Lonchura striata: one gene and its partners. The protein of the gene in region 2 interacts with the protein of the main gene of each other region in a pairwise test. Links are inferred from orthologs where the notes say so. Each region holds a gene or a part of one and is shown on either strand. Other genes may lie near its edges.

Evidence for each region.
Region 1: the proteins of KCTD6 (region 2) and EHHADH interact in binary tests that used the Homo sapiens proteins (3 or more experiments, as listed by UniProt). The two-hybrid records come from large-scale screens. The link is inferred for Lonchura striata from reciprocal best matches to the Homo sapiens genes KCTD6 and EHHADH.
Region 3: the proteins of KCTD6 (region 2) and CTNND1 interact in binary tests that used the Homo sapiens proteins (3 or more experiments, as listed by UniProt). The two-hybrid records come from large-scale screens. The link is inferred for Lonchura striata from reciprocal best matches to the Homo sapiens genes KCTD6 and CTNND1.
Region 4: the proteins of KCTD6 (region 2) and GRB7 interact in binary tests that used the Homo sapiens proteins (3 or more experiments, as listed by UniProt). The two-hybrid records come from large-scale screens. The link is inferred for Lonchura striata from reciprocal best matches to the Homo sapiens genes KCTD6 and GRB7.

Annotation. Positions count from the first base shown.
Region 1 is NC_134612.1:6,532,976-6,540,769, reverse strand, and holds the start of EHHADH (peroxisomal bifunctional enzyme), read right to left. Parts: upstream 3,244-7,794; 5' UTR 3,218-3,243; coding exon 3,147-3,217; intron 1-3,146. UniProt on the Homo sapiens protein: Peroxisomal trifunctional enzyme possessing 2-enoyl-CoA hydratase, 3-hydroxyacyl-CoA dehydrogenase, and delta 3, delta 2-enoyl-CoA isomerase activities. Catalyzes two of the four reactions of the long chain fatty acids peroxisomal beta-oxidation pathway.
Region 2 is NC_134614.1:15,790,615-15,798,345, forward strand, and holds KCTD6 (BTB/POZ domain-containing protein KCTD6), read left to right. Parts: upstream 1-4,332; 5' UTR 4,333-4,406; coding exon 4,407-4,433; intron 4,434-5,632; coding exon 5,633-6,319; 3' UTR 6,320-7,033; downstream 7,034-7,731. UniProt on the Homo sapiens protein: Probable substrate-specific adapter of a BCR (BTB-CUL3-RBX1) E3 ubiquitin-protein ligase complex mediating the ubiquitination and subsequent proteasomal degradation of target proteins.
Region 3 is NC_134608.1:53,102,598-53,110,428, forward strand, and holds the start of CTNND1 (catenin delta-1), read right to left. Parts: upstream 3,169-7,831; 5' UTR 3,103-3,168; intron 1-3,102. UniProt on the Homo sapiens protein: Key regulator of cell-cell adhesion that associates with and regulates the cell adhesion properties of both C-, E- and N-cadherins, being critical for their surface stability.
Region 4 is NC_134627.1:7,270,964-7,278,835, forward strand, and holds the start of GRB7 (growth factor receptor-bound protein 7), read left to right. Parts: upstream 1-4,698; 5' UTR 4,699-4,714; coding exon 4,715-4,845; intron 4,846-4,942; coding exon 4,943-5,087; intron 5,088-5,751; coding exon 5,752-5,908; intron 5,909-5,989; coding exon 5,990-6,111; intron 6,112-6,178; coding exon 6,179-6,256; intron 6,257-6,347; coding exon 6,348-6,485; intron 6,486-6,569; coding exon 6,570-6,680; intron 6,681-7,468; coding exon 7,469-7,567; intron 7,568-7,872. Other genes in the region: MIEN1 (migration and invasion enhancer 1), read right to left, coding at 24-109. UniProt on the Homo sapiens protein: Adapter protein that interacts with the cytoplasmic domain of numerous receptor kinases and modulates down-stream signaling. Promotes activation of down-stream protein kinases, including STAT3, AKT1, MAPK1 and/or MAPK3. Promotes activation of HRAS.

The DNA of each region.
Region 1 (7,794 bases), on a different chromosome or scaffold from region 2:
GCAGGTCTGGTACTTTTCCTTTGTATTTTTCTCAGCTTCTAATATACTTTAAAAACCTGCAAATCCCAAACCCGAACAATAACAATTCAGGCTCTCCCATTGTCACAAGCTCCTTTTCCTTTGGATAGCTTCCTGCAGTGTTTTTCTTTGAACTAACTGCTGGGTGTTACATAATCCCCTACTTGAAATTGAGGACTTTTGTGCTGGAGTTACCTGCTCTGCTCTCCCTTGCTTCAGTGTCAGATCCAGCTGTGTAGCAGCTACTGTCACATATTGTTGTGTGACAAGTTGCTAATGCAGCTTCAACAGTCCCACACGTAAATTAAGGCCAGAGCCAGAATGGCATCTTTTGACTGGAATTTTAGAATAGTTGTTTGAGGAAGCAGATGCTTATTGATCCCAGAATTTTCTCTCTGTATCTCATTCTGGTGAAGTGCTGATCTGTGGGTGATCACATTCTCCCCTCATTGCTACCTGTCTGAATCTGCAGCTTCTCTCATTCCCTTTACATTTTTTGAATTTTAAGGTGATCAGAGTCAGAAGGATAACCCTGGCAGCCAGGGAGAGCTTTTCCCAATCAAACCTGTTATGCTGCCACACTTCATAGAATCCCACACATAAGCTGCCCTACTGCATGGCCTCCCCTATCCTCCCTGGAGCTTTTCTGTCCTTGTCAGCTTAAATGTTGAAATACTCCTTAAAGTCCTTCTAATTCCCGGTGCCAGCGGCCTGCCTCTGCTGAGAAGGGGTAGTCAGTCCTTCCTTTTGCAAGTCTTGTCTTTCTGCTACTAAAAACCTCCTAGTTCTTTGCATATCTGGATCCCTTCTCTCAATGCCGTGGTCTTGTAAATGCAGATCTCTGAATACTAAACTTCTGCAAACCAGGAAAAAGCCCTCCAAACAAATGCAATTTGGCACATGCCACTTCTGCTGGTGGAGAGAGTGATTAGCTTAAAGGGGAGTCTGTGTGGGAAGTGAATTTGCTGCCAGGCTCTCAAGTCAGCACACATTTCTCAGAAAAGCACTGCAGGTACCAGCAGAGGATGATGTCAGACAGGAGAAAGCAAATTCCTGCCCACCATTGGCTTCTAAAGTGCTAATGGCTAATGTGATGGCCCAGGAGGGGGGAAGTGGATAATGGAGACAGGTAGGGAAGGTTGGAGTACAGCAGCAAAAACTCACCAGTCTTAAAAAGCGTTTGTGCCTGCTGTGAAATGAAATTTTCAGGATTGCAGGGCATGGCTCCTGTCTGTAACTTTCACTGCCTGCTATCACCTGTGCAGTTCCAACATTTCCAACAGCACTAAGAAACTTGCTTCCTGTGGTCCAGTACAGAAATGTGCAGGAACAGGAGGAGCACCCAGGGATCAGAGTGTGCTGTACCTTTCCTAGCTGTAGTCACATCTTAGCTAACACCTACCTGATGGCAAGGGTGTGAGAATTATGGATCTCTTTTAAAACAGGTATTGCCCTGGTATGCCACCAAAGACCACCGACATGTCTCAAGTTGTAGTTTAATGGATCTGAAGTCTACAGGATATTCTTTCTTCCCTGTGGGACTGAGGGACAGGACCACAACCACACAATCTGTCTCCCTTGGTGTACCAGAACTGCACCTTGCTGTGAGGGCACTGCAGGGCCAGGAGCAAAGGGCAGTAAAGGCAGAGATCTGTCCTGAAGAAGTTGTTGTGCTGTTGCTATTCAAAGGCAGAGGTGACTTTGGGTTTTCTCCAGGACTTCTCAAAAGAGGGGAGTTAAGGTTCCTAAACACATATCTGTAACTGCTGATGGTTGGACTCAGTGATTGTAAAGATCTTTCCAACATCAGCAATTCTATGATTCTTTAGGTCTGTATTTTGTATTTTTCATGATAAGGATTGAAAGTTTATTGTGAGCACAGCCTGGAAGTTTTCTTAGACTAGTCTTGGGCACAGGAGGTCCAAAGGATGTCTTACACCATACAGTTCTGGGAGTCTTACGTGTCTGGTTCATCTAAACTCATCAAGTCACTCCAAGTTTCTCATGGTAATTACCTGAGCATGTGAAAATGTTCTCATTCCACTTCCAAACAAGTTGCAACAGAAGAGTGACCAGTGCCAGTTACAGTGTAGCTTTTCTACAGAAGAACATCATGTTTCGTCTCCTTTTCATGCTCTTACTTGTCTCCGTGAGCTTCTTTTTAACGAACTTTCTCTTTTGTAAATCAAGCACAATTGCAGTGTGATTATTTTTGGCTTGTGAATACAGACTGAATAGACACTGTGGTCACTATTACTGAACAACTACAGCTGCTTAGAAAGGGTTTATGTGCTATTCAGAACTAAAGGAACTAAACCCCACAACTAATGTAAAGCCAAAAGCACGTAAGTCCTTTTCAAGACACATGAAAAACTAAAATTTCAGAGGCTCCTACAGATTGGTGTTTGACTTCATTTTTCACTGGCTCCTGTTTGAGATTGCATGGGGCCCTTCTTTACCAAGATCAGTAATTAGAGGTCAATTCCTTAATTGTTTTTAAAGGCCAAATGAACTGTTTTCTGATAGCCCTGGCTGAGTTTAATCCTGGTGCCAGCTCTGCTTGCTGAACCATGCCTGATACCCACAGAGCCCTTTGCCCTCTTGGATAGCACAAGGATTCGCCAGGCAAGTACTGAGCAATGTGGGGCAGACAATCAGACCAGGAAATCTGAGGACTGACTTGTACCAAACAGCACTGAAGGCACTCCAGGCTGAGCTAGCGCTGCTGTGCTATGCCTTGCTGAAGCAGTCTTGATGTTTAAAGACTGGAAAATGATGAGAAATAAGCAAGGTTTTTAAACACCTTCCACGAAGATGGCAGAAAGTATGGTTTGCTGAGCCTGGCACCTCTCCTGTGAAACTCCCCAGCTAGAAATTATAAGAAAGAGCAGAAGTTATGGCAAAGTTCAGCATGTTGTTTGCAAAGCGAGATCCAGGCTACCTCTGAAGGAGCCGCCGGTACTCTGCGAGTACTGAGCGGTGTAGAAGTCCCGGCTGAGGCTCACTGGGGCGAGCCTCACTCGGGCTCGGAGAGAAGGAACGAGGTGAAAGGGAAGGAGATCGGAGAATCCTCCACCCGCTCCTAAGGTGTCCTCAGGCCCACGCTCCCCGCGCAGTGCCGGCGGTACCTGAGCGCGTTGACCGGCGGGTTGCAGAGCCGGATGACGGCCACGGCCGAGCCCCTCGCGTAGTGCGCCATGCCGAGCCTCCCTCTGTGTCCCCGTGTCCCCGGGCCAGCCCCGCCGCGCCCCGCCCGCAGCCCGCCCCCACCGCCCGGTCACCGCGGGGCTGGCCCCGGCCCGGGCCGGCGGAGAGCTGCCTCTGCTGGGGTGGCAAAATGCACAGTATGGACACTGTTCTTAAGGAAGGTTGTTCATTAATGTTTGATCTTTATAACTTTCAAGCCTAATCAACAAGAAAGGAGGTTTCAGCTCACAAGCTCTAAGTGTTGTCCGGGCGTTGGGAAGAGAAAACCTTTTTGGTAGAATTGCCTTGTTAAGGTCTGGGGCTCCACGTGTTTCAATGATCCCAGTCCTACGGGAGGTTGACAATGCTTGGGAAGAAGGATGTGTGTGATGTGCCACTGAGAGTGGGCACACAGAATGCAGAACTTAGAGGCCACAAGGCCATTTGGCAGAACCCCCAAAATAAGGAAGAAACTAATAAAGCCAACCCAGCAACTGTGCTGAAATCAGCCCTGACTGGGTAAAAGGTAATTCTGGCAGGAGCAGGTCATGACCAGCGACTCACAGACCACTGACCCAAGAAACCACTGACCCAAAAGAAGATAAAGACTGGCCTAATTAGCATGAGAAATGAGAGAATCATTAATCAGTAGAAGACAGACCACTAAATAAGAGAATGATGTAACTTGCAGCCAATGAACACCAATACCTTCATTTGCTAAAATGTATAAATAGTGAAAAGTTTTGATAGTTATGCTGGCTTTGTGGATTTGCTACCCAGCCTTCTTTCTGTGCACAAATGTAAATAAATCAAACACCTTGACTTAGTGTTGGATTGGCATCTTGTATACTGGGTGAAAGAACCTTTTCTGGGACAACACTGGAATTTAATGTGTGCTCCAAGTCAAGCTCTGTCCCTCTGGTCCTCTCGGGCATCACTTCAAACCAGCCCCTCAGCTCAGTGCTGTAGTGCCACTGTAAAAAGAGCTGAGAGGTAGGGAGGGGAAACAGTTTCTAATGTTACAACAGGTATTTGTTGCTTTAAAATGTTATTTAAAGGACAGAAAATATTCTCATCTATACATTGTTATATTCTTATTTATATATCTATAATCTCCCCTTTATGTCTCTTGGCCTTTAAAAGTCAGTCCCTGGGCAGAATGGCTACAGTTTTTCCCTGGTCTGGAACAGGTGTACACATTTTTAGAAATTGATTTACATGTACAGAAAGGTCCTTCACTAAAAGCAAGCTTTATTGCTGCTTTTATATAACCTTTATTGTTACACCTATTGTGGTGGGTCACTACAGCTCTTCTGGCATTTATTATATAATGTTACAAACCCCCCTAAACTAGTGATAATACTCTGCCATTTGCTTGTAAACAGCATGTTCTGGGAGTTTATAAAAATTGTGTAAATGATGCCTTGGAGGGCTAGCTGGTCTGTCGAATTTTTATTAACCAGAATGAAACCAAAGATCAGTCTAAGTTGTACTCTGTGTTTATAATTTACAGGTCTGATCTATTTGTCCTTTAATAATACAACTGCTGTAGTTGTGATAAAACAGCCCTATTTCAAGCTCGAATAAACACAGAAGAAAGCAGTGCTTGGGAAAAGAGAGCTCATAGGAAAAAAAAAAAGAAGAAAGTTCTACATTGTTATGGAAAAGTTCAGGTAATATTTAAGGTTGTGCTTGTCTTTTTTTCCCTTTTTCCTTCAAGATGAATGGAGTTTGGTAGTGAGAAGAAGAATAAATGAATTTCAGTATATACAGCAGAGAGATTTTAAGTCTTGGAAGTTGTGTAATGACCAAGTGCAAAGGCCTGAGCTTAAATCCAGATCCCAAACCAATGGGGAAAGAGAAGTGCATGGTACAGGCCCCAATTATGCTTCTGGCTGTGTTTTCCTCTTCCAGCATTGCTTTTTTTCACTGCAATCAGACCAAGGCTCTGCAGCTCTGCTACATCTGAGCTGATCTTGCACATGGGAGGGGTGCAGGTTGAAGAGCCTGTCAGTGCACTTCACCATGGCAAAATGTTACCAGGGTGGTCCAGTTTGTTCCTCCAGCTTTTGTGTGGCTCCCCAAGAGCTTGTGCAAGCCTCTGTCAGCCCTGCTGTTCTAAAGCTGTGCGGGGGCTGCCAGGCAGTTTGTGCTTCCCTGGAAAGCAGCTGTGGGCTATGGAGCCACAGGACAAGGTGGCAGCTTTCTCTAGCCCTAGGCCTGCCAGAGGAAAAGACATCTCACTATTCCAGATCCCTCTGATTACTGGTCTTTTGACCACACACTAGAGAATAATGCTCAGAAAATACACCTAGCACCCAGCTCTGGAAAAAGGCTTCTGAGACAGGAATAGTGGGGATGAAGGTATTTTTTACCAAAAAACAGATTTTAATGGATGGAAATGTTGTGCTTTGTCTTCTGAACCCCTCAGAAAGTGCCATAGTAGGAAAAAAAGATTCCTACTTCTTTCTGAGCTGGAGCAACACAAATATATCAAGTCTCCTGCAAGCCCCCGGGATCATCATCCTGTTCAGGAAGTGCTGAATGATAAAAACAAATGCTTTATTTATAGGAGCCTCAGCTTCATTTTTATTCCAGTATATCAGTGATACAAGGTACTCCATAAGAAGCACCTTGATTTGCTCTAACCTTATTCACACAGAACAAAAATTCCTGGAAAATGCTTTTTTGACAGCTGCACCCAGAGAGACTGGAAAAGGTGAGTGCAGTAATGTCCCATCTGTAGGAGTAGAGTATTTCTATGGGAATGACCTCTGGGGAGCATGGAAGGTCTTATCAGCTGTATTGTGCAATCTGAGTGGAGATTTGTGGTAAAGCCCATGGCCACAGTGCTGAGAGGGGCAGGAACTCTGAAAACTGAAAAACTTACTGGTTCTTGTCATCAGCTGGTCTAAACTTCAGGCCTGAATTATACCTTGCTGTTGAAATGACAGACAGGAGGGCCAGCTAAATCCAACAGCTGTTTTCGGCTTTCCCTCTTACAGCTATGGCCCTTTTTCCCCCCCACTTATTATCTGCTGTAAAAAGAGCTGCAATTTTTGTAATTTTTGTCTGACCCCTTCATGTGTGGTAAAAGCCAATACTGGTAAACATTTGATCACAAAATAATTTCAGAGTCTCCTTTGGTTGTCACACCCTTAGGAGGTGTCCTCTGATAATTTTAAGTTTATTTTCCAAACAGTCTCCAAAACCCAGCCTCACAGAGCCTCAGTGAGCTGGAGTTCAGTGCCTCAGGGCTGGCACAGAGAGCCCTTACAAAGGTGGAGCAGGTGTGATAACTAGAACAACACAGCAAGGCACACTGTGGGCCATGCAATAGCATCCTATTGCAGAATTTAAATTTCTGCTGAAGAGCCACAGCTTCTGTCAGCCATGAAGGTTGTTTTAGATTGACGTGATAAAGACATATTTAAAAACCTTTTTGTCCTAACTGGGTATCCTTTGAGGATTTTTTTTTTTTTTTCCTGTAGTAAAAAAGGTTTTCAAATGTCTTGGAATCTTTGCTTTTTGTTTTGTCTTATAAAGTAAGGCAGGGCATAATTAAATGCATTGTTAACTTTGCCCCTGTTACTACATTTAATAACTTAAAAACTAGTGTGGAGATGGAGAACAGTTGCATACCCAACTCTGCATTCCCCTTAGAAGCAAACAGCTCATTTTTGTTTCAAATGTGTGTGTGCAGGTGTGGAGAGCAGCAACACAGCCCTGTGAGCACGACAGCTGTTAGCATGGAATCACAGACAGGTTTGGGTTAAAGGGACCTTAGAGGTCATCTCAATCCATGCCCTGCCATGGCCAGGGACACCTTCCACTCGACCAGGTTGCTTCAAGCCCTGTCCGACCTGGCCTTGGAAGACTTTTGTTTTATTGAGACTTTACTCTGCTCCTTGGCTTCTTGAAACCCAGGATTACTGCTCTGAAACTCCCCACTGCATCAAGCCTGGTCTGTGTTTCTGTATATTTTAGCATCCAACCCTGCAAACACAAAGCTATGGACAACTTTGCACACATCAAGCTGGTCTGACAGATATGTTAGCAGTGTTCAAACTCACAGCATTTCCCACCTAGTGGGTTGTCTGTTCAGTATTTATCTCACCCTATGCCATGCTGGGCATTGTAGATCTAAATTGTCTTAAACAAAAATTGTAATTTCAAAAGTAAAACCTCGATTTTTCCCTTCCAGAACAAAGTATGTTGGTTTTTTTTAATATTACAAACCTACCTCATGAATTTTGAGCTCTTATAATTGCGTGGTTTCAAAGCAACACCTCCTGGCAAGCCGTGGTATTGCTTGTGCAGGGGGAGACATTCTTTGTGGGATGATACATGACAAAGCAGGAATGCTGTGGAGTGATAGAATCACAGGATGGTTTGAGCTGGAAGGGACCTCAAAGCTCATCTCATTCCCACCCCCTGCCATGGGCAGGGACACCTTCCATTATCCCAGGTTGCTCCATGCCCCATCCAACCTGACCTTTGATATTTCCAGGGCAACCACAGTTTCTCTGGGAAACTGTTCCCAGACTGTCAGTGACCTGCAGCAAAGACCTTTCCTTGCTTAATGTGAAA
Region 2 (7,731 bases):
TGGGTTGCTTCAGCAGGACCAGGCTGGCTATTTAGAGTCCTCTTTTGGGTCTCTTATAGGAGGGCCAAAGTTGTACTGGAATGTGGGCTCAAATAAAGGTTTGGAATCAGGACTTAGAATGTCATAGAGCTCCTTGGGCAAGGGATGGAAACTTCAGGAGCTTGGAATTCATAGTGAAGCAATTAAACATAAAGGAGTGAAAATGTTGAGTGGCTAGCGTGAGTGTTTTTCCATCCTGCCTGAGGTAAAGACTGTGTATTAGTAAAAAACAGGTCAAGAAAAGCAAGAGCTAAGTTAACTTCTAATAAACTGCATTAGTCATGATAAACTTGACATGTGTTGAAGGCGGTAGGTGCTTTCTTTAGTGAAGCTGATCTCCTGAATTGCCAGAAAATTTGGTAACTGGTTGTTTTGAGAATGCTCCTCCTCCTCACTCCCTGGTTAGGGTGGCACAGAGCTGGAACTGTGCTCTGCAGACCATCAGCTCACTCTAGTTTGGTGGAGAACAGTCAGCACTGGTGCTGCTCAGTGTTTGTCAGTTCAGGTGAGTCACCAATAATTTACAGTAAGAACTTGCCTCTCAGATATTCTGACTGGCTGGGAAAGAGAGAGCTTGTCCCTGTACAGTGTAACTGTGCTGGTAGATGGAGTTTCTTCTCATCTTGTGAGATCTAAGTGTGAGAGGCAGGGAGCTCACAAAGGGGATGAGTAGCTGAAATGCCAAGTGTATGTCAGAGTTTTACCTTGCTCTTTTTCATTTTAAGTTGCCACTGCTAGAATTACTTCCATCTCTCTATTGACATAGGAATCAAAGGTAACTCTTGAGGTTAAACAGCCTGTGCTGTAATATTGATACCAGACTGCCCATGAAAGATGTAAATCCCTTAATTCTTTTGTTTGAAGAACTAGATGAAGAACATCCAGAGCAAATCAGGTGATCTGTGCCTCTGGACTTAGAACAGCTTGGTGTATTTCTGCTCCTCCTTTAAGTAACTGCACGTTGCACCATGGAGTGCTGGTAGCCTGTAGTCCCAGCAGTGTGAATGCCTGGCAGGGCTGTTGGCACCCCCTGGCCTGGCCCGAGTGTGTGTGTGTGTCTGTGTGTGTGTGTCTGTGTGTTTTCCCAGATGCAGACGTTCATCTGACTCTTAAATGCTTTCTTTGAATTTCAGCTTGCAAACTGGTTTGCAGCTCTGTTCTGGGAGAAGCCCTGCTGGAGTTAGTGGCACTACCTGTTGCAGCAGTGTTGCTGATAAACAGCCTTGTAATCCTCTGAGTCATAACATATGAAATAAGAGTGAGTGTTTTATAAATGCAGGTATCCAGTTTGGTGTGTTGGGTATAAAGTGATGACCTGAGTGCTTTTCTTGCTTCTCACCATGCCATTCCAGTTCTGGCTGTGCTGGGCTGTGGCAGGAGCCCCAGTGACCGTGTCACTGCTGTGTGTCCTGTCCCTGCACGCAGAGCAGTGTCACGACAGCAGGACTGTGGTTTGACACCATCTGTGCACTTCTGCTCCCACCAGAGAGGGACATCCCATTTGGCTGAACTGTGTCAGCAGTTTGTTTGACTGAATTTCACTTTAAATATTTTTTGTGGTTATCAAATGTAGGCTGCCTTGGGATATGACTGTGTGTCATCTGTAATTTGCTGTCTGGACAGGAGTAGCTGTGTTAGCAAGCTTGTCCCTGCATGCAGTCCATTGGTGTGTGACACAAGGACAGAGCTGGCTTGAGGCTGCCTGTGCTGAAGGATGGATGGAGTCTCTGCCCACCCCCACTGATGATCACTGTATCCCATTCAGGAGGATTTAAAGCATCATTGAAAGGGCACATGTTATGAAGGGTGTCCATCCTCAGCCTTGCTGTGATGTGGTTGGTGAGTCCTTAGCTCAGGTTGTCCCCAAACTAAGCTACTTTCACCTCTGAAGTTGTCTAGAAATTCAGAGCTCCCAGGCTGATAAAGAAAGTAGTGAAGAGTTGGGGTCACACTCGGGCATTTTAGGATGACCTCCTGGTATCATCCTTTTGTGTGGCACATCCTGCTCCAGCACTGGTTTTCCAGGGAGGTCTGTGTGTGCCTTGTGGTTCTGGGTCCTTACACAATGGTCACAGGGATTTCTCCATGCCCCTTCTGTGTTGAGGGCTAGGTTTGTTTCAGATGATTGCTCTTGTAAATTTTTTACTCCACAGTTACACAGCAATGCTGTGATCAAAGACTAAAGCATGCCTTTGCACTGGCTTGCAGTGGCTCTCTCTTTCCCTGATGAAGTCTTGATTCATCCGTACTGGACTTACATGCTGACCAAAATAACATCATATTCACTAGTTAAAATAACACTGATGGACATCTCTGCCTTTGAAATATTCTGGATGTGTAATTTGAGTTAATTTTATTAAGACTGCAGATCTCTTCTGTCATGATTACTGGTGAGGTTTCTGTCTGGCTGCATCATTTCACTTTCAAGTGATTATCAGAAACCTGTACAGTCTCATATGGTTTTAATGCATCTACATGTCATCCTCATCTTGTACTTGATCAGGATAACACATTCAAGTGCTAGAATTTAAAAGGTCTGGTTTATTGCTAAAAGTTTACAAACTGTACTTGAGTGACAATTCCAAAAAAAAAAAACCCCAAAACCAAAACCAAACAAAAAAACCACCCTCCAAACAAACAAATAAAAAAGTCCAAACCCAAAAAACAAAACAAAATGAAACAAAAAATCAAACAGCAAAACCCTGAAAGAATTCACTTCTTGCTTTTTGAGGAGTTAAAAAAAATAATTACAGAGGTTGGCAAAAGAGCTGGCGTTCCACGTTTATCTGCTGTAGGGGGATGTGCTTTAATGTACTCTCTTGAGGCATACTCTGTCTCTAATTTGTAAAAATAGGATCCTGGTATGACTTGTTCTGTACCTTAGTATTCCTTAGTCTTGTGTTGTCTGACCTCACTATTTTCATATACTGATTTTGTTTTTTTCACTCTTTAATCCACCTGAGATGCAGCTGGGGCTGTGCTTGTGCTGCTGGGTCCCAAAGACCTGACCTGCTGGACACTGTTTTGCCCAGGCTGTGGATTTGGGCAGGGCAGCAGGGCACAGAGAGGTGGGATGTGCTGTCTTCTTCTGTGGTGAATGAAGCCAACCTCATTTCCTAGGAATGAGAAGGGCAAGTTATCTTTTTTTGTTTGGGAATTAATTGTGAACATTCAGTTGTCTTGGAATGTGGGGCTCTGGCTTGGCTAAATCTTTTTGCTGCCTTTAGCTGGGGTGGCTGTATGTTGAAGTTTGTTAGTAACGAGGATGGGACCAGAAGTCTTGGGAACTGTGTGGTCTTTTAAGATGTAAAAATAAACAAAGCTGAGAAGCTCTACCCTACTTAAAACAAGCTGACCTAAATTTTCAGCAATTCTAGCAGAGAGGCAGGCTCTGGGTAGGGATAAAGGCTTACTGACAACTGGCTTCCCTGTCCTTCCATCGCTTGACAAGGTTGACAGGCCACCTTTGGCAAATCAGCACTGGAGTCTGAGGTCATTCACTTCCCCCTTCTTAAGCTGCCAGCCTGGCTGTGGATTTGCCTTGTGCTCCTGTGGACAGTCCCCTTGTTATGCAAGTCAACAGTTCAGCATCTTCTGGGAAGTCACAGCATGAATCTCTTCTCAAATTGCTTTTGTTGGAGTGTGTTGACAGCATGTTAGATGTCCTTTGGCTTGTCCCTACAGAGATTGCTTTTGAGAGTAGGCGTCTGGAAAGTCCTTTCATACTCTTTGTCTGTAGATTAATGTTCTTGCTATCAGTTGCAGTTCTCCACTACTGAATTATTAATTCTGCAGTGAGGGATTTTTCTTTTTAGTGTTCATTGACTTTCATGCTCAATTTATTTTTCTGAGCAGTTTGAAACTGGAGCATGGGAATGTTGACTAATATTAACGGATCACTTGTGTGACCTCAGAGGTGGCTAAATAAACTTTCTTAATTGGGAAAATGGCATCTGTCTTTCAAAGTACTCACAGTTTCCCAGGTGAAAGGTTGCTTGTGAACGTGTATTGCCCTCAGAAGCACATTGCTTGTTTTTCAAGAAAACTGGGATGTTCAGGCAACCAGTGGAGTGGTTACGTGTGCTCCAGAGACAGTCCTGTAGGTAATGTGATGGGAGAAGGAGGGAAAAGAGGGTTTGCAGATTCTCCTGCTAGTGTGACTTTGTAGCTGAATGTTTTCCTGGCAGAGAGCCTGTCTTTGATTGGAAAGCATTCCCCTTGGTGTTCTTGTAGGTACTGATGGTTTGCTGTTTTGTTCTGTGTTTGTGTGTGCTTTTTCCTGCAGGAAGATAAGAGGAGAGGAATTGTGTATCCTTTCAGCAGCCTTCTGTTAAACTTGGAATATCACAGCTCAAGCACGTGAACAGATGGATAATGGAGACTGGGGATATATGGTGAGTGCAAGTGTGCACTGTGCACTACAACTGGGCTTCCAAGGTCTTGCAGCAAGAATCCTTCCACATCTGCCTTGTGTAGATTGAGCTTCAGTTGTGAGAGAAGGAAAACTATGCCTGTTAAAATAGCTTTACAACAGCTTACACACCTTCCCTGGAGTGCTGCACCTCCTGTGCCATTTGTGGGGAGTGCCCAGGTTCACATTTGCTAGGGACAATCAGCCAGGACTGAACTGATGCCTTGAGCTCCCTGTTACCGTTTTCCTAACAAAAATGCTGAAAATAGTTCATGCTTTTTGCTTATTATTTTAAGGATTTTTGTCATTTTATTTATCAAGAAAAGTATTTTTTCTTGTAAATCTTGTGTTAAACTAGACAAGCACATCTTATTTTTCTCCCCTTCTCATTCTGCTGCCATGCATATGTCTCTTTTCTCTGGCTGGCTGCAGTCCTGGTTTTTAGAGTTGGTGGCCAGATGGGATTTATGTTCCTTTCTCTCTTGCTTCCTCATGTGCTATCTGGAATCTGATGCAGACTGGTTTGTGCTCTGCTCCCCACTTCTATGCAGCATGCTAATTTGTTAATAAATATTTCTTTTTAGAATTAAAAGCTGAAAGTTCTTTTTCTCCCTTGCCTGTTTTAACGAAGCCTCTGAGCCGAAGTGTGGATTATTTTGATTGTGAGCTCTTGGTCCCCTATGTTTAAACCTGCACTGTCTTCCTCTTTTGAGGGATAAAAAGAGGCTTAATGTTTGTTTGGCTTTTTTTTTTTCCCTGTTTTTTTGGTTTTGATTTTGTTCTAGAATGAGAGCCAGATTGTGAAAGTAAGGAACATTGCTGGTCCTCATTCTGACTAACTTGTTCTTCAGGAAATTTCTCTTTTCTCATTTCCCCATCTGTAGAATAGGAAAAAACTTGCTGCCCGAATGCTAAACTTGATCCTGCAACAGTAGCTCAGTTGTTAAGATTTCTAAAGCATTCTGGAAATGTGCATTCTGCATGCTAAGTACCATCCTGTCTAGTTGCCAGTTGTGCCTTGTTGCTAGGTGGCTTGGATTTGTTCAGGTTTGAACAAATAGAGGCGTTGAACAGAAGTGTGATTTCCCCCCAGTTTTCCAGCAGTATTTGCCAGGTGTGTCAGCAAGGTGATCGAATCTTCTTGTTGGGGCTTGATAAACTCTGCAATTTCTCTCTTTCTAGATGACTGATCCAGTCACGCTAAATGTGGGTGGACACATGTATACGACCTCCCTCACAACTCTAACGAGATATCCTGACTCAATGCTCGGGGCCATGTTCAGGGGAGACTTCCCCACTGCCAGGGACTCTCAGGGCAATTACTTTATTGACAGAGATGGACCACTTTTCCGTTATGTTCTTAACTTTTTAAGGACCTCAGAGCTCACTTTGCCACTGGACTTCAAGGAGTTTGACCTGCTCCGGAAGGAAGCAGACTTCTATCAGATTGAACCCTTAATTCAGTGTCTTAATGACCCCAAGCCGCTGTATCCTGTGGATACCTTTGAGGAGGTGGTGGAGCTGTCCAGCACCCGGAAGCTTTCCAAGTACTCCAACCCGGTGGCTGTGATCATCACGCAGCTCACCATCACGACGAAAGTCCATGCACTACTGGAAGGCATTTCAAACCACTTCACCAAGTGGAATAAGCACATGATGGACACCAGGGACTGCCAGGTGTCCTTCACCTTTGGGCCATGTGATTACCACCAGGAAGTGTCGCTCCGAGTCCATCTCATGGAGTACATCACAAAGCAAGGCTTCACGATCAGGAACACCAGAGTCCATCACATGAGCGAGCGTGCCAACGAAAACACAGTGGAACACAACTGGACTTTCTGTAGACTGGCACGGAAAACAGATGACTGATTCTGACTCCACAGGAGCCACTTCAGTGATTAGCAACTTAATTGGGCAGTGTACCCAAGAGAGTCTGGATTTTGACTAAAGCAACAATATGGGCTTTTTTTATACGACTATTTATTGTTTATCAGTGAGGACTGGAGGAGTTCCATTCTCTAGCAGCTCTGTTCTTTTGTCCAGTTCAGAAAAAAAACCGTGCATGTGCCTGTTCAGTCAAGACACCTTTTTGTTTGAAAGAGGGAGTCCGAAGAATCAGTACAATAGGGTATTTTGTGTCATTAACACAATTCTCTGACTCAACTCAAAGTGCTAAAATTACCTCTTGTTTAAATTGTTTCTAATTCATCTAATGCTATGACACTGGGAGCAAGAAACAAAAAGATTTTAAAATGCAGTTGGGGAGAAGCTGCTATTGTGTAGACTAATTTAGTTTCTAAATCAATAAACAGTATTGTAATATTCTAGGAAAACAAATCCCACCCTTTAAATGTACTTGATAAGTACAGTTTCTTACAGTTATGACAACTGTTTCTTTCTATGCATATAAATCAAGCAACCAAATATTATCTGTAGCCATGGAAATATGATTACAAATATTTATATTGGATTCTAAATGCAAAATGTCCCTGTGGTAGAATTCATATTTTTAATGCCTGGTGCAATATTATTCCCAAGTGTAATGCCTGCCAGAAGAAGCTAATAAAAATGTGAAATACAGAATACTGTTTTGTATTTTCTCTTTGTCTTTTAGAATTTTCATACTTAAAAAAGCCAACCAAACAAAAAGCCTCCCACCCAAATTCTGGTTTTTGTGCTGTGGAGTAGTTTGGGTGTTCTGGTAGGGCCCTGGTTTCTTCAATTAATGATGTAATTTGTTCCTTTTTATGTTAATCAGTTGATTAAAATGTCATTATAGACAAAACTTGTGTTCTGAAAACTGCTTTAGTTTGATAGAAAGATGGCAAATATTTGTACTGGTTAAAGGGGTAGGGATGGAGGAAACACAGGGCCTAAATACTTGTAGCTGCTAATAGAGTTGCCTGGTTTGTCAGCACTTTATGTGGTATTTTATATATATAAATTCCAACTGCAGAATGCTTTTAATAGTGATGTTGAAGTCAAGGCACTCAAATTCTGTGGCTTTACTTAATTTCATACAGACATTTCTACTTATCCTGGTCCTTTTGTCATAGTTATTAGTAGAATTTCTGGTTATGATCTAACTTGATTGCAGCTGGGAGTAAGGGCGTTGGTATCTGTTTCATGGAGTAGATCCTGTTCTCCCATGAAGTTCTTGTCCCAAGTAAGTGGGAGCTTTCCATCCCATATCTGGCTCTAAAGGCTGTCTTGGGGGGTATTTCTCTGTCGTATTTTGTCTCTTCCTGTTCATACATTGCAGGTTTTTGACTTATGCAATA
Region 3 (7,831 bases), on a different chromosome or scaffold from region 2:
TCACCCCTCCTTACAGAGGCCATCACAAGGAAGCAGTATTTCTCACAGGGAAAAGTTGCTTCCTCCACAGGCAAAGGGAAACGGGAAGATCACACTGCGCCCACTGCCATACCCAAGCCCCCCAACAGGCTGAAGGCACACAAGAACACAACAAAGCCCATTAATCCAGAGGTCAGGCCCCACATGCAGCAGTCACTGGACAGGGCAGAGGGACAGGCACTCCTGTGCCAAACCAACACCAGCAGCCTTCCTGGAGGGAAGGAAGGCGGATTAGCAACAAGCACAAGACAGGCGGGAGCTGGACAGACTCATCAGCCTGCTGCTGGGGGTTTCCAGGACAAGAACTTGCTCTAAGAAGCCATTTCCTCCCCCAAAAAGCCTCCTTGGATTATATAAAGCAAAGAGAAGGTTGTGGCCACCTCAGAGAAATCGAGGACTTTGGTCGAGAGCCCGTCAATCCAACCCCTTTCTGACAGCCTAGCACTGAGGCACATTCCTGAACTCTGTGCCAGAGGACAACCTCCTCCGCTGGCCAAGCCCTGTGTCACACACAGAGGAGTGCCTGAATTGCCCAGGTTCGGGTTTTGTCATCAAATCCAGGCAACACCTGTTGTCTCCTATTGACCCAAACCAGCTCCAGGTTCCGCTTCTCCCCGTCAGCAAAGCAGGGACAGGACACAGCCACAGTGCTGCAGAGACACAAATGTTCAGAGCCAGGAGAGCTCTGTACTTCCCTGGAGACAGCATCACCACAGTCTTGGGAAAGGGCTCTGTCCTTGCCAGCAGTAAATGAGAGACAGTTTTGAGGGGTTGTTGGGAAGAGAAACCAAGAGCTTTACCCAGCACTTTCCCCCTAAGGCCATAGACACTGGTAAGTTATTTTGAGAAGCCAACAGCCTTCCAGGCATGATCCAAGCCACACTATTATTTTCTGGGTGTCCTAAAGCCACCTCCACTGCAGATACAATGGGCCAAGGTCTTATCTCCATGCCAGAGGCCGGAGGAGGGAAGAAATGAGAGGCAATCCAGGGACAGACACCGGCTCTGCGGTCTGGGCTGGACCATTCATCTGACTCCCAGCCCATCTTTAGGGAAGGGATGGCCTCAAGGGCTCCTCAACCACAACGATCAGGCCCTGACCTCTGCGTCGGAAGGGAGGAGGCTCAGCCCTCTGTGGCAGTCCAGGCAAGCCTGCATGCTCCACTGAGCGAGCGCTTTCATCCTCCCACTGCTTCCAGGAAGGTTCCGCACGAGATTCCAGCAATGCTGCACACGGCAAAGGACAGTCAACGGCACACTCAAGAGTCCAGCCAAACTCAACCAAGTGGAAGAACAAATCCTTAAAAACTGCCTTTATGCTGTTGACAGAGCATGAGCAAACACCAGCAGGTGAAGAACCTGCCTCAAGAAAGCCCTGGGAGCAGGATGGAGCAGACAAGGTAACTCTGGGGAAGACAACTAACAATTTTCCTGCCTAGGCTCTTGCCACTGACCTGCTGGACATGGCCCCGGCTCCATTGGCAGGAGCTCCAGCAGAGGCAGGAGCCTGGGAGTCACCAGCCAGCTGTTGACCCTACCTTGCCACATCCAGGAGAGAGGGCATGGAAGCTGAAACTCCAAACAGAAGCTGCGAGCATGGCTTACAGGATCCCAGCACACCTGCAAAGCTGAGGACAAGCTCAATTCTCCACACCAAAGACCTGGACAGTCAAGTCCAAAAGCATCTGTGCAGTGCAGGGAGGGCATCAGTGAAACTACAGGTAGCTGCAGTTCAATACAATCACATGACTCCATGTGCCCAGATGTTCTTCTCTGGCTCACCGGGAGCTGGGAAGAAGCCTGGGAGAGGAGCCTCCAGCTCCAGCTGGTCACAGGACAGCCCAGGCCCCCAAAATAACACCCTGTGAGCCCCATCATCACTGGCTCCCTGGAAGGGCAAGGGCACCAAGCCCTTGGGGAGAGAGGGAGGCACTTCAGGAGGTCCACTGCTCTCTCCAACAATCAGAGGAAGCTTTGTTGTCCAGGCTCCCTCGCCCAAAGCCCAGGGCCATAACGGAGGTGCCCCACCTCCCTTCTGCCAGCGCGCGGGTGCCTCGCAGATGCCAGCAGCCCTCATGACTGAGAGGCACGCAAACTTTCTCACCCCAAGCAAAGTCTCTTCTCTGCAACGCTCCGAAGAGGCATAGGAACGCCCACCGTGCAGGGGAAAGCGATGCCGGGGGACGGTCACCGGAGAAGGCAGGACGAGCGCTGGACAGGGGGAGGCAGCCGGGCTGTCGCTAAATGACAGTGTGGCCAAGGCAGACTCAGAACGAACCGGCGGCTGAGCAGACCCCCGAGGTCGGCTCCGGCACCGTCCTGCCTCTCGGAAAGCACTTCGGAGTCGCTTGTGAGCTCGGGTGGACGGGCCTGTCGGGCTGTTTTGAAGCTCAGAGCGATTCCATTAGGAGGAGCCGCAGCCCCACCCGCACACTTGACCCCCCCGGGCACACCGGCCCCTTCCCCGGCAGAACAAAGGCGCAGGCGAACGACACACCGGGCGAGGAGCCCCTGCGGAGAGCGGCAGAGCCGAACTGGGCGGCGGGACGCGGAGTCGGAAAGCCGGACCGTGCCTCGGCCGAGACCCCGCGGAGGGACCCAGCCCCGCTCCCCGCCCGAGGGCGGGGGGGCCCGCCGGTGCCGGCCGCGGGAAGCTGGCACACGGGCCGCCTTTGTTCCGGGCAGGGCGAGCGGCGGCGGCCCCGGGCGGGGAGCGGGGCGGCCGCCCGGCCCAGCCGCCTTTGTGTCGCTCCCCGCGGGCTCCCGGGCGCCGCCAGCGCCCCCGCCAGGGCCGGGCCCCGCCGCCCCACCGGTCCCGCGGGGCGCGGCCGCGCTTGGCACGGGTTCCCGGGCAGGACGGGACTCTAGGGACCCGGTACCTACCGGCCCCGGCAGGAGAGCGCGGCCAAGCCCCGATCCGGCCCCGCCGGGCGAGGACCGGCCCGTCCCGCCCCGCCGCCGCCGCGGGGGCGTGCGGCGCCCGGCAGGCGCCGGCCCGCACCGGCTCTGCTCCCTCCCCTCTGCCCCCTGAGCGGCGGCACGGACGCCGCGATCGGGACTCACCGTGGCCGGGCTCCTCGGCGGACGGGCGAGGGCAGGCGGTCCCGCCCCGCGGCGGCGGCGGCACGGCCGCCCGGCCCGCTCCGCTCCGCGGGTCCCGCCGCGGCGGCGAGGCGAGAGGCGAGGCGGGCGCCCGGTGCGGCGGCGGCGCGGGTCAGGCCGGGTCCCGCCGGGCGGCGCGGGGCGGTGTGTGCGGAGCGCGGCGTCGGTCGGGTCCCGCCGTGCGCCCGCGCCGCTCCCGCACCTAAAATGGAAGTTGGTCCGGCGGGCGGGGCGGGGCGGGCGCGGGGCCGCCCCCGGCGTCAGCAGCCGCGACAAGGACGGGCGGGACCGGGGCGGGGCCGGGGCGGATGTCCCGGTGGGGTCTGGCCGGAGGACGGTGTGTTCTCCGCGTGCTCCATCCTGGTGGGATGTGCCCCAGCGGTGCATGTTCTCCAAACCGGGGTCTGCCCTCAGATGGGCTCCACCTCGGGACCATGGCGCCCGGGAGCAGACCAGCTCCTCCTCAAGGTCCGGGTCTGCCCCGGCGTGGTGCACCAAGGGGCTCTCTGGGACACCCCCGGAGTAGAGCCTCCTCCGGCCGGTCCCTCTGGAGCGGCGGGAAACCAGCTTACCCTGTACAGGGCAGAACTTGCCCAGAAGGGAGATTCCCTGGCAGGATGGGCTGCACTACGTCCCCGGGAGGTTAACCCGTTCCCTCCCTCTGGCCCTAGGGAGCAGGTGCTGGTGGGACTCCAGCCACAGCTCATCCTCTGTGGTGGAGGGTTTCCCCTTCCCGGAGAGGCAAGGAAGTAACGCCAGGCCAGCCCCACGGCGTGTTCCGGGCTGCTCACCTGGGAGAAGTCCAAGTCCCCCGAAGGTGTCTGACCGGGGAGAACCCTGCCTGCTCCTGTCTGCCTAACTCTCAGTGAGATAATGATAGAGGAAAAGAGCTGGGGACGGTTTTGGGTGGGACAGGTGATTCCTGGGGTAAATATGCACTGGGAGGCAGGGAAGATGTGATAACAGCCTGCGGATGGAGGTGTGAAGGAGGTGATCCAGAGCTCTGTACGGATTGCTAAAGGTGGTGCAGAAAGGTGTAATGAGGTGAAATGGGATTTGATGCATAAAAAGGGAACATCTAGGGAGATGATCGGGGCATGGGGACCCCCAAACCCTCCCTGATGTTTGGTTTGTAAAATAGACCATCCAACCAGCTGGGAGCAGATGGAGAGCTGGTCCACATGTCCCAGGGAGGAGAGGGTCTCTCCATTCCACAGCAAGTGAGTGAGACCTTCTCTCTGCATCCCTTCATCCTTGTTGTCACCCAAAATGAGCAAACTGGATCCCCTCTCAGCCTTGTACCTTGAGTGAGAACAGCTCCCAGATTAGAAATAATCCCCATCTGCCCTCCCTTCCTCTTGGCCCACCACAAGGAGGAAGGTGAGTGTATTCCCTGAGTCTCAGAGACAAGGAAGGAGAAGAGGTGCTCTCAAAATTCCTTCTGGGAGAAAGAGTCCTCGTTCACCTGACACCTCCCAAGGGGCAGCTCTCCCTCAGGGAAAAGGCATCAGAAACACCTTGCTCCTCCATCCCAGCACCAATGACATGTCCTTTGAGGCCTCTGCCCGGGCAGTTGGGGCAGCAGGGGCTCGGAGGTTCATGCATGGTCCTGGCCCAGTCACACCCTCCCTATGCCCTCTTCAAAGGCTAAAGGTGCTCTTACAAACACGACTCTGACGCTGGGCAAGTGCCTCCTGTCCCCAGGATGGAGCTGCACAGGGCTTATCCAGGCTGGCCCTGCCCCAGCCCTGCCCTGACAGCTGGAACACCCGGTAGCACATGCTTACTTTGGAAGGCAGGCTGGACCCTGATCCTTCAGCTTCAGCTGGAGGATCATGCTCTTGTTTGACTATAACTCCTGGGGCAGAGGAGCCTGTCTCACTGCGTTCTGGGAAGAAGAGAGATGTGTTCCTAGCATGGGAAAGTTTCCCCTCTTTTACAGTAATTGCTTGTAATAACATCTTGCACATCCCCTTTCATCCTACAGCTGATGCCTTTCCCAGATGAGACGCCCAGAAGTGCAGCTGCCACCGGAACAGAGCAAGACAATTTGTTTACAAGGCAGGCCCGTGCTCTCGGCGGCCGAGGGCAGGAGGAAGGGGAGGCTGCTGGCTCCAGGTCCACGCAGGCAGCTCAGGGGATGGCCTGCATTGTTCCAGGTCAGGATAACAAGGCCCTTCCGCAGCCCCTTTCCTATGGGAATCCTGACGGGTTGTTGGCCCTCCTTGCACGAGGGGAAGTGCGGCACCAGGAGGGGGGAGAAGGAGGGAAGCGGGCCTGAAGGAGCTTTCCAGCTCCAATTGGAAGATGCCAGGCCACAGAGCAAGCCTAGAGCCCACCCTGCCACCTTCCCAGTGCAGCTCCATGTGCTTGGTGTTGTCCCTGCTTCCCACCAGCCTCCCACTGTGCTTGGGCTCTCTCATGCCCACAGACCATCCTGCTTTCAGCCTAGCTGCATCCTGTCATGCCCTCAGACTGTCAAATTCCTGGTACATCTTTTGCCCAAATGTACACGTGACTTAAGCATGCACAGAAATCTCCTTCCCCCCCAGCCCCACAAGGATCTATTGCCACTTACAGTCTCTTTCTTCTCTCCTTTCTCAGTGCCTTTCCCAGCCTCAGATCTTGCCTTCATCCATCCCTTTTGCCACTGTGCAGGGTCCAAGGTCCCTCTGGAGAGCAGGGACTCTGAGGCAGGTCCTGCCCTGCAACACAGGCAAAGGCGACATAGCTGAAAATGATCCCGGCTATGAGAATTGAGAAGGGAATTTCCTTTCTCTTCCAGAAACTGGCTCAGAAACTGCTGATTTGAGGGCTTGGGAGACACTGTAAAGACAAGATTTGTCCTGTGAGGAGGCCTCCTATCAATAGCAGAGGGAGCCTGAACAGGCAGCACAGTTTAGGCCTTGCCCTCACTTTGCAGTCAATCCCACCAGGAGATAAACCCTGCTGGACATTCCCAACCCTCTGAGTCACCCAGGGTTTCGACCAGCCAAGGGCCAAGGACACCAGCTGTGCTGCAGGTCTGCAGCCTCTGATCACCTGAAGATAGACAGAAAGATTCAGGGTCTGACACGATTTACAGTGAAAACTGCAATCCCATACTTTCCCCCAGGAAAATCTGGTAGAAGAAATGGAGTTTAGAGAGAGGGGTGAATGGGACAAAAGGCTGCTGGTGATTTTTCTACTCTGTGTTATTTGGCTTTGGATACTAGTAAAAATGACACTCATAAAAGGCCTCTTTTGTGTACCTGCAAAGGGAGTGGTTGCTCGGTTGCCAGTTGAGTATCAGTGAATTTTAAGGGCAGACGAGGCCACTGGTGGTGGGGGGGGAGCAGCGCTGCAGCTGTCGGGGTACAGTGGAGTGGGGGCTTTCCCTAACAGGGTTACTGCTGAAACATTAACCCCCCTGCTTGCTGGAATGTGGCTGCCCCCTGTCCCACTGTGGTCCCACTCACTGTCACAGGGCACTCCATGGCATCTGGATCCATGCACTCCCAGTGAGGTCAGGCTTTCCAGGCGACAGCTCCGATCATTGTAATTCCACAGGATTGCAAGGGGTGGGGGAGGAAACATCTCTATTTTCCTTCTATTTTTATGAGCATATGATAGCACTTTGATATGAAATTACTTGTTTTCTGCATCCCTTGGTATTCCGGGCTGGGCTCCAAGCCACCCGGGGGCAGTGACAGACTGCCAGTGACCTCAAAGGCCTCTGGCTCAGGCCTGGCACCAGCCACTTTCTTCATTGGTTTGTGTCCATTTTGCAAAAACGGAGAAGAAAAACCACCCTCACATGTCCAACCAGATGAAAATCCCTCTGCAAGACCACATTTGAAGACTTTGTAGATTTAAACTCTACGGCGACATTCAGGCTCCTGTCCTTCTGCAGCTCCTGAAACTTCCACCCACTTGGGTTGTTTGTAGGAACAGCCACTGTCTCCAGGCAATGGGGATGGATTATAATCTTTGCTCATGTGTGTGGAGTGACTGACGCAGATTTTTGTACAATGGGTGCTTTATAACGTGGCAAAAAACTTTCAAACTAAGTGGGCAGCATCGCTTGCTTGAAGGATGCCTTCCAAAGCACCATCAATCCTCCCCTTCAGGAGCCTGGGGCACAAAAACACCCTTCCTCACACGCGAGGGCCCAGTGGAGTCTGAAAATCCAAACCAAGGTGGAGCCCTTGAACCCAGAGCTGCTCCAGACAGCAGATGCTCCAGACAGCACCTTCCCCATTATCAACCCCGTGTTCTTCAGTGCCACCGCTGCAGTGACCATAAGCGGCCCTGGCCTGGCTGTCGTGTCCGGGCCCGATGGTGATGAGGGAGGGACGAGCACCACCACAGGCGGCGGCGGCACCCAGGCTGCCCTCAGCGCGGCCGCCATCGCACCACAAAACACGAGCGGTGCCTCCGGCCCTGGGCAGAGCAGGGCACGGCGGCTGGGGAGGGCTGCGGAAGGGGTCGGGCACGGCAGGCGGGGCGGCGCCGAGCCCCGCTCCCAGCGCTCGCGGCGCCGCCCCGGCCGGGCCGCTCCCGCCGCGCCGCCACAATGGGTGGGGCGAGGCCGCCGCACCACGTGAGGCCGCGGGCGCGAGGCGAGGGCGCGCAGGGCCCCGGTCCCGGTCCCCGCTGCCCGCGGCCGCGCTGCGAGCTCCGGACTCACCCCCGGGGCGATTCGGCGGCG
Region 4 (7,872 bases), on a different chromosome or scaffold from region 2:
CCCCCGGCGGCCGCGGCGCTCACCAGTACTCCACCACGATGCGGACGCGCCGCTCGGCCCCGTTGTCCCCGTCCCCGGTCCCGGTCCCGGTCCCGGCCCCGCCGCTCATGGCCCCGGTGCCGCCGCGCCGCCACTTCCGGGTTCGGTCACGTGACGCGGCACTTCCGGCCGCTCTGCCCCGCCCGCCTCGTCTGCTCCGAGCGCGGCGGGAGGAGCGCGCTGACCCCGGGACCCGGCACCCCGGGACACCGGGACACCGGCACCCCGGGACCCCGGGACCCCGGCACCCCGGGACCCCGGGTCCCCGGCACCCCGGCACCCCGGCACCCCGGGACCCCGGGACACCGGCACCCCGGGACCCCGGCACCCCGGGACCCCGGGACACCGGGACCCCGGCACCCCGGGACCCCGGGACACCGGGACACCGGCACCCCGGGACCCCGGCACCCCGGGACCCCGGGTCCCCGGCACCCCGGCACCCCGGCACCCCGGGACCCCGGGACACCGGCACCCCGGGACCCCGGCACCCCGGGACCCCGGGTCCCCGGCACCCCGGCACCCCGGCACCCCGGGACCCCGGGACACCGGCACCCCGGGACCCCGGGACCCCGGCACCCCGGGACCCCGGGTCACCGGGACACCGGGACCCCGGCACCCCGGGACCCCGGGACACCGGCACCCCGGGACCCCGGCGCCCCGGCACCCCGGGACCCCGGCACCCCGGGACACCGGCACCCCGGGACACCGGCACCCCGGGACCCCGGCACCCCGGGACCCCGGCACCCCGGGACACCGGCACCCCGGGACCCCGGCACACCGGGACACCGGCACCCCGGGACCCCGGCACACCGGGACACCGGCACCCCGGGAACCCGGCACACCGGGACCCCGGGACACCGGGACACCGGCACCCCGGCACACCGGGACACCGGCACCCCGGGACCCCGGGACACCGGGACACCGGCACCCCGGCACACCGGGACACCGGCACCCCGGCACACCGGGACACCGGCACCCCGGGACCCCGGGACACCGGGACACCGGGACACCGGGACACCGCCACTGACCGAACGTGACCAAACTCACCGGCAGTAACCCCCCAGACCCACGGGGGACACGCAAACCCCCCACCGTGTGACACACAATGACCTAAGTGACCCCCGTGAGACACACAGTGACCCCAGGTCACCTCTACTGACCTAAAGTGACCCAAACTCACCCCGTGTCACCTGCAGTGACCCCCCTGACCCACGGGGGACACGCAACCCCCCCACCGTGTGACACTCAATGACCCCCGGGACCCCCGGGACCCGCGGGACCCCCGGGACACAGCGAGCCCAGACCACCGCTACTGACCTAAAGTGACCAAACTCACCGGCAGTGACCCCCCAGACCCACGGGGGACACGCAAACCCCCCCACCGTGTGACACTCAATGACCTAAGTGACCCCCGTGAGACACACAGTGACCCCAGGTCACCTCTACTGACCTAAAGTGACCCAAACTCACCCCGTGTCACCTGCAGTGACCCCCCAGACCCACGGGGGACACGCAACCCCCCCACCGTGTGACACTCAATGACCTCAGTGACCCCTGTGTCACCCAAGACGGGACCCACGGTGACCTCCGGGACCCGTGGGACCTGAAATGACCCCCACGGGAGCTCTCAATTCCCCCGCTGCTCCGTGGGACCCACAATGAAAACCCCCGCGGGGGTTCTGTGGGGCCTTGTCCCCACAGACCAATAGGAACCCCCACATCCCCCCCCGAACCCCTCCGTGGGGACACCTTTAGGTGCTCTGTGACCCCCACGGCACCCCTAGACCCCAGTGGGGACTCCCAGACCCCGGGTGGGGTCACCCCGCAAGGGGACACCCACAAGGGACCCCACAGAGCCTCTAAGTGACCCCACATCCCACTGCGTTCCCATATCCCAAATATCGCCCCCCACCCTCCTGGAAGGGTCCCTGACCCGCAGAGACCCCCACGACCCCCCACCCCACGGTCCCACTGCAGGGGTCCCTCAGGGGACAACGGGGACACCCCCCGCCCGCCGTGGGACCCTTCCAGCCCCGCTTTGGGGGTCCCAGGGGTTTGGGGGCTCTCGGAGCATGACCGGGGGGGTCTGTGGGACCCTCACCCCCCAGAACATCCCAGGGGACCGAGACCCCCCCGCTGCCCCAGGGGTCACCCCGGTGCATTGTGGGAAACTCCCCATCACCAGCTCGGGGGGGTGCGTTTGGGGGGTGCAGCCCCCCGGGGCCGGGCTGGACACTCCGCAGCGGGCCGGTGGGGGGCTGGGGGGCCCCGCTGGGTGTCGGTGGGGGGCCGGTACCGGGCAGCAGGCCCGGGGCGCCGTGATGTCAGGCGGGGGCGGGGGCAGGCGCAGGTAGATAAAGCCGGGGAGAACAGGAATCCCCGCTCCGGCGGGAGGCTGCGGGACGCGCCGGGAGCTGCAGGTAGGAGCGGGGCCGGCCTGGGGGCTCCTGGAGCCGGGGGGGGGGTCTCTGCTCATCCCGGGGTGTCGTGCCCATCCTGCCGGGAACCACCCCGGAGCTCTCCTTCCCTTCCCTGCGCCCCTTCCCGCCTTCCTCCCGGCTCTTCCTCCTCCTCAGCCACCCCGCCCTGCCTCCTCTGCTGCCTCTGCGGCCCTGGGGAGCCCTGACCCCCCACCCCGGGCACCCCCGGGACCCCCACCCACAGCTGGGCTCCTGCTCCTTAGCCCGGTGGTCCCGGCACGCTGTCCCCTGTCCCGGTGGCCCTGGAATGCCACCCCCTCACCCTGGTGGCCCTGGAATGCCACCCCCTCACCCTGGTGGCCCTGCCATCCCCTCCCTCACCCTGGTGGCCCTGCCATCCCCTCCCTCACCCTGGTGGCTCTGCCATCCCGTCCCCCTGCCCTGGCACCCTCGATCTGGTGGCCCTGCACCCCCTGCTCCATAGCCCTGGTGGCCCTGGGGCCCATCCCGGTGGTCCTGACCCCCTCCAAGCCCCCACCCCATAACCCTGTTTGTCCCCTGGGTGTCCCCACCCTGGCTGTCCCCACCCTGGGTGTCCCCACCCTGCCACGGCCACCAGGACCGGGCTCACCCCGGGGTGACCTGAGGCCACGAGGGTTGGTGGCAGGGCCGTGTCCCAGCCCCAGGGCCCCGTCTGTCACCTTCCCCACGCCCTGTATCCTGCTGTGCCCCACCAGCAGCGTCACCCTGCCGGACCCCTGGCTGTCCCCGTGTCCCCACATGGCCCCGGGGTCTGCCCAGGGACGGGGGACAGGGCTGGCACAGCCGGGGCAGGGAGCGGAGGGGAGCAGAGGGTCCTGGTGGGATGCAGGGATGGGGACAGGGACAGGAATGGGACAGGAACAGGGACGGGGACAGGGACAGGGACAGGGACAGGGATGGGACAGGGACAGGGATGGGATAGGGACACTGCAGGGACAGGGACAGGGATGGGGACAGGGACAGGGATGGGATAGGGACACTGCAGGGACAGGGACAGGAATGGAGACAGGGACAGGGATGGGGACAGGGCAGGGATGGGGACAGGGACAGGGATGGGACAGGGATGGGGACAGGGATGGGGACAGGGACAGGAATGGAGACAGGGACAGGGATGGGGACAGGGCAGGGACGGGGACAGGAATGGGGATGGGGACATGGCTGGGACAGGGACAGGGGCGGGATGGGGACATGGACAGGGCAGGGACAAGGATGGGGACACTGCAGGGGCAGGAATGGGGACAGGGACAGGAATGGGACAGGGATGGGGACAGGAATGGGACAGGGACACTGCAGGGACAGGGACGGGATGGGGACAGGGATAGGGACACGGCAGGGATGGGTACAGGGACACTGCAGGGACACGGACGGGACGGGGACAGGGACAGGACGGGGATGCCATCAGCCCTGCCCAGCCGTGGACTTGGACCCGAGAGGCGGCGGGAGGTGGGCGCAGCGACGGGCGAATGATTAACGCGGCTCTGCCCGGTGTCCCGGGACCGCCGGGTGCCACCGTGGGTGCCACGTGTGTGTTACGCGTGCCATGTGCTGGGGGGGCCGTGGCACATCCCCGCTGCCCCCGGAGCCGGTACCGGAGCCGGTGCCCGGTGCCCCGGTGGCACCGCGTGGGCGCCGGCAGCGGGGCGTGGGTGGGGAGCCGGGGGGGCTGTGCCAGCTCGGGGGGTTCCCACGGCGGCTCCCTCGCCCCCGGCTGCCGGCGCGGCCGCCCGGGCCCGGATGCCAGGGCGGTGAGGTGGAGCTGGGAGCGGCCGCCAGAACTGGTTTGGCCGGACCCGAGGAGGTGTTTGGGCTGAGCCGCCGCCGCCGCCGCGCTCGGCTTCCTTCTCTCCTCGGCGCCGGCACGGCTCGGCCTGGCAAAGCTCGGCCTGGCAAAGCTCAGCCCGGCATCGCCCGCTGCTCCCAGAGCCTGCTGTGGGTCCCACTTGGGATGTGGGGGATTCTTGGGGGGGTCTCAGCCCACAGCACCCGGACAGGACTGGGGGGATGGGGACACCCTCGGCAGCTCAGCCAGAGCCCCAGGGCTTGTCTGGGCACCGGGAAAACACCCCTGGGTGGGTGCCAGGGGTGGGAGCCCACATGGAGCCCGGGGTGGTGTCCTCACCCCCCTGCAAATGTAGCCATGAACCCTCCCGAGGGAACGAGGACCAACCCACGGAGCCAGACCCCCTCTCTCTCTCCCCCCCACAGATAATGCCATGGACGGGGGGGCTCAGCAGAGCAGCCTCTGGGAGCCCCCCGAGCAGGATGGGGGTCCTGGTGAGCGGGATGGGGGCGAGGGGCCGCCCGAGGTCAGGCGCTCCCAGCCCCTCTTCATCCACGGCAGCAGGTGGGTGTGAGCCGCGGGGGGATTTGGGGAGGGGAAGGGGGTGCTCGGGGGGGGTCACAGGGGGCGTAGAGCTCACCCAGCCCCCCCGTGCCTGCAGCCGGCAGCCGCCACCGGAGGAGCCACGAGCGTCGTCGCTGCCCAGCATCCCCAACCCCTTCCCCGAGCTCTGCAGCCCCTCCAACTCACCCATCCTGAGCAGCCCGGCCCTGGGACAGGGACCCCCCCGCGAGGGCACCCCCCATGTGAGTCAGGGGCTGGGAAGGGACGGGGGGATGAGGTTTGGGACACGGACACCCTGCACAGGCTGGGGAGGGGGTTTTTGGGGCAGAGACCCCCCGCGAGGGCACCAGCGGGAGTCAGGGGCTGGGAAGGGACGGGGGGATGAGGTTTGGGACACGGACACCCTGCACAGGCTGAGGAGGGGTTTTGGGGGCAGGTACCCCCCCCACTAGGGCACCCCCCATGTGGGTCAGGGGCTGGGAAGGGACGGGGGGATGAGGTTTGGGACAGGGACATCCTGCACAGGCTGGGGAGGGGGTTTTTGGGACAGGGACCTCCCCACGAAGGTGCCAGTGGGAGTCAGGGGGTTGGGGAGAGTGGAGGGTCTCAGCTCTGGGGCTGGAACCTCCTCCCACGGAGGGTTTGGGATGGGGTCCCAGCCTTTGGACAGGGAGCCCTCTGCAGAGATCCCACCATCCTAAGCCAGGGGGCCGAGGGGTTGGAAAGAGGGACCTCAACGCTGGGGAAGGAACCACCTCTGAAATGAGTCAAAACTCTGGGGAGGGAGGGGACAGGAGCCGCCTCCCACACCAGCTGGGGAGCGGGAGGTGGGGTGGGCATTCTGTGCTTCAGCAGGGTCCCCTTGTGCTGGGGGCAGCCCTGACACCCCCCGTCCCCCATCCCCAGGTGGTGAAGGTGTTCGGCGAGGACGGCGTGTGCCGCTCGCTGGAGGCCTCGGCGGCGACCACGGCGCGGCAGCTCTGCGAGACGCTGGTGCGCAGGACGCGCGCGCTGCACGACCACAGCTGGGCCCTGGTGGAGCTGCACCAGCACCTGGCCCTGGGTGAGCGCCCGTGGGGGCACGGCGTGGGCACGGCCCGCGGGACCCCCAAACCCTGCTGACCCCCCGTGTCCCCCCGCCCAGAGCGCTGCCTGGAGGACCACGAGTCGGTGGTGGAGGTGCAGAGCTCCTGGGCCCCGGGCGCCGACAGCCGCTTCGTGTTCCGCAAGAACTTTGCCAAGTACGAGCTCTTCAAGAGCAACGCGGTAGGTGGGCGCCCTCCGTCACCCCCCTGAGCACCCCAAGGGTCCCTGCTGACCCTCGGTCCCCCAGCAGTTGCTGTTCCCTGAGGTGATGGTGTCCAGCTGCCTGGAGGCCAACAAGAGCATGGCGCACTCCGAGCTCATCCAGGTATGGGGCAGCACGCCCGGCCGTGCCCCGGGGACCCCGCCGTGCCCCGGGGACCCCGCCGTGCCCCTCAGCCCTCGTGTTTCCCCCCCAGAATTTCCTCAACTCTGGCAGCTGCCCTGAGGTCCAGGGCTTCCTGCACCTGCGGGAGGCCGGGCGCAAGGTCTGGAAGCGTTTCCACTTCTCCCTGCGCCGCTCGGGGCTCTACTACTCCACCAAGGGCACCTCCAAGGTGAGGGCAGGGGGGTCTGGGGAAAGGGAGCACGGCCAGGGGGTGCAGCGGGGCCAGCCCTGACACCCCCCCGCCGCCCCCCAGGACCCCCGGCACCTCCAGTACTTCGCTGACCTCACCGAGTCCAACATCTACTACATGACGCAGGGCAAGAAGCTCTACGGGACGCCCACCGAGTTCGGCTTCTGCATCAAGGTGGGGATGGTCCCCGCTTGTGGTCCTTGCCCAGGGCTCTCTGTCACCTCTGAGCCACCTGGGGCTGCCTCATTGTGAGAACCCCGGGCTTGCTCTGGGGTCTCGTGTGGTGGAAAAGTCTCTCCTCCCACCCGTGCTTCCAAAGAAAGGCTCAGCAGCTTCTCATTGTTCGGTCTCAAGGCAGTTTATTGTAAATTATCTAAAAGATTTTCTTCTCTTGCTGCTGCAGTTTGCTCAGCAGCTCAGGCAGAGGCACACACACACCCTGACATCCTCTCTGGTGTCTTCTCTCCCCACCCAGGGCTGCTGCTATCTTTTATATGATATATTACATATTACATGTTTATAGTTTTTCCCCAATACCTACTACCTATATTACAAAGTGCTTTTCTACTCTAAACCAATCCATAAGTGCCAGCTCACCCAGAACATGGAGGTGAGGAAGAAGAAGGAGGAAGAACAGGATCAGCCCACTTTACTCCATCTTAGAACTTCTGACCCCCATGTACAAAGTGAAAACCCCCCTGTACATGTGCTAAAACCCCTGTACAATACTAAAAAAAATTCCCCTCTGTTTTGTAACTACTTTTACTATCCTATCTAACCCTTTGTGACTGTTCCACCTCCAAAGTTGGTAATTCATTCCATGGTTCAAACTCAAAACCACAGCTGTTTGCAGCTGCCTGCTGGGGTCTAGAATGCTTCTGACCAAGGCCTGGAACATCCAAAAATGTCTGAGGGACATTTGGAGTTCCAGCAGCCCGTGACGGCTCCGGCCTCTCCCGCAGCCCCACAAGGTGCGGAGCGGCGCCAAGGGCCTGAAGCTGCTCTGCAGCGAGGACGAGCAGAGCCGCAGCTGCTGGGTGGCCGCCTTCCGCCTCTTCAAGGTGAGCCCCGCGCCGGGGGGACGCTGGGGGCACGGCAAAGAACTGGGGGGATGGCAGAGATGATGGGGTGATGGCAAAGATGATGGGGTGACACAAAGACAATGGGGTGACAGCAAAGACGTTGGGGTGATGGCAAAGATGATGGGTGACTCAAAAATGATGGGTGACACAAAGATGATGGGGTGACAGCAAAGACGTTGGGGTGATGGCAAAGATGATGGGGTGATGGCAAAGACGATGGGTGACACAAAGATGATGGGGTGACACAAAGACGATGGGGGGACGGCAAAGATGCTGGGGGGATG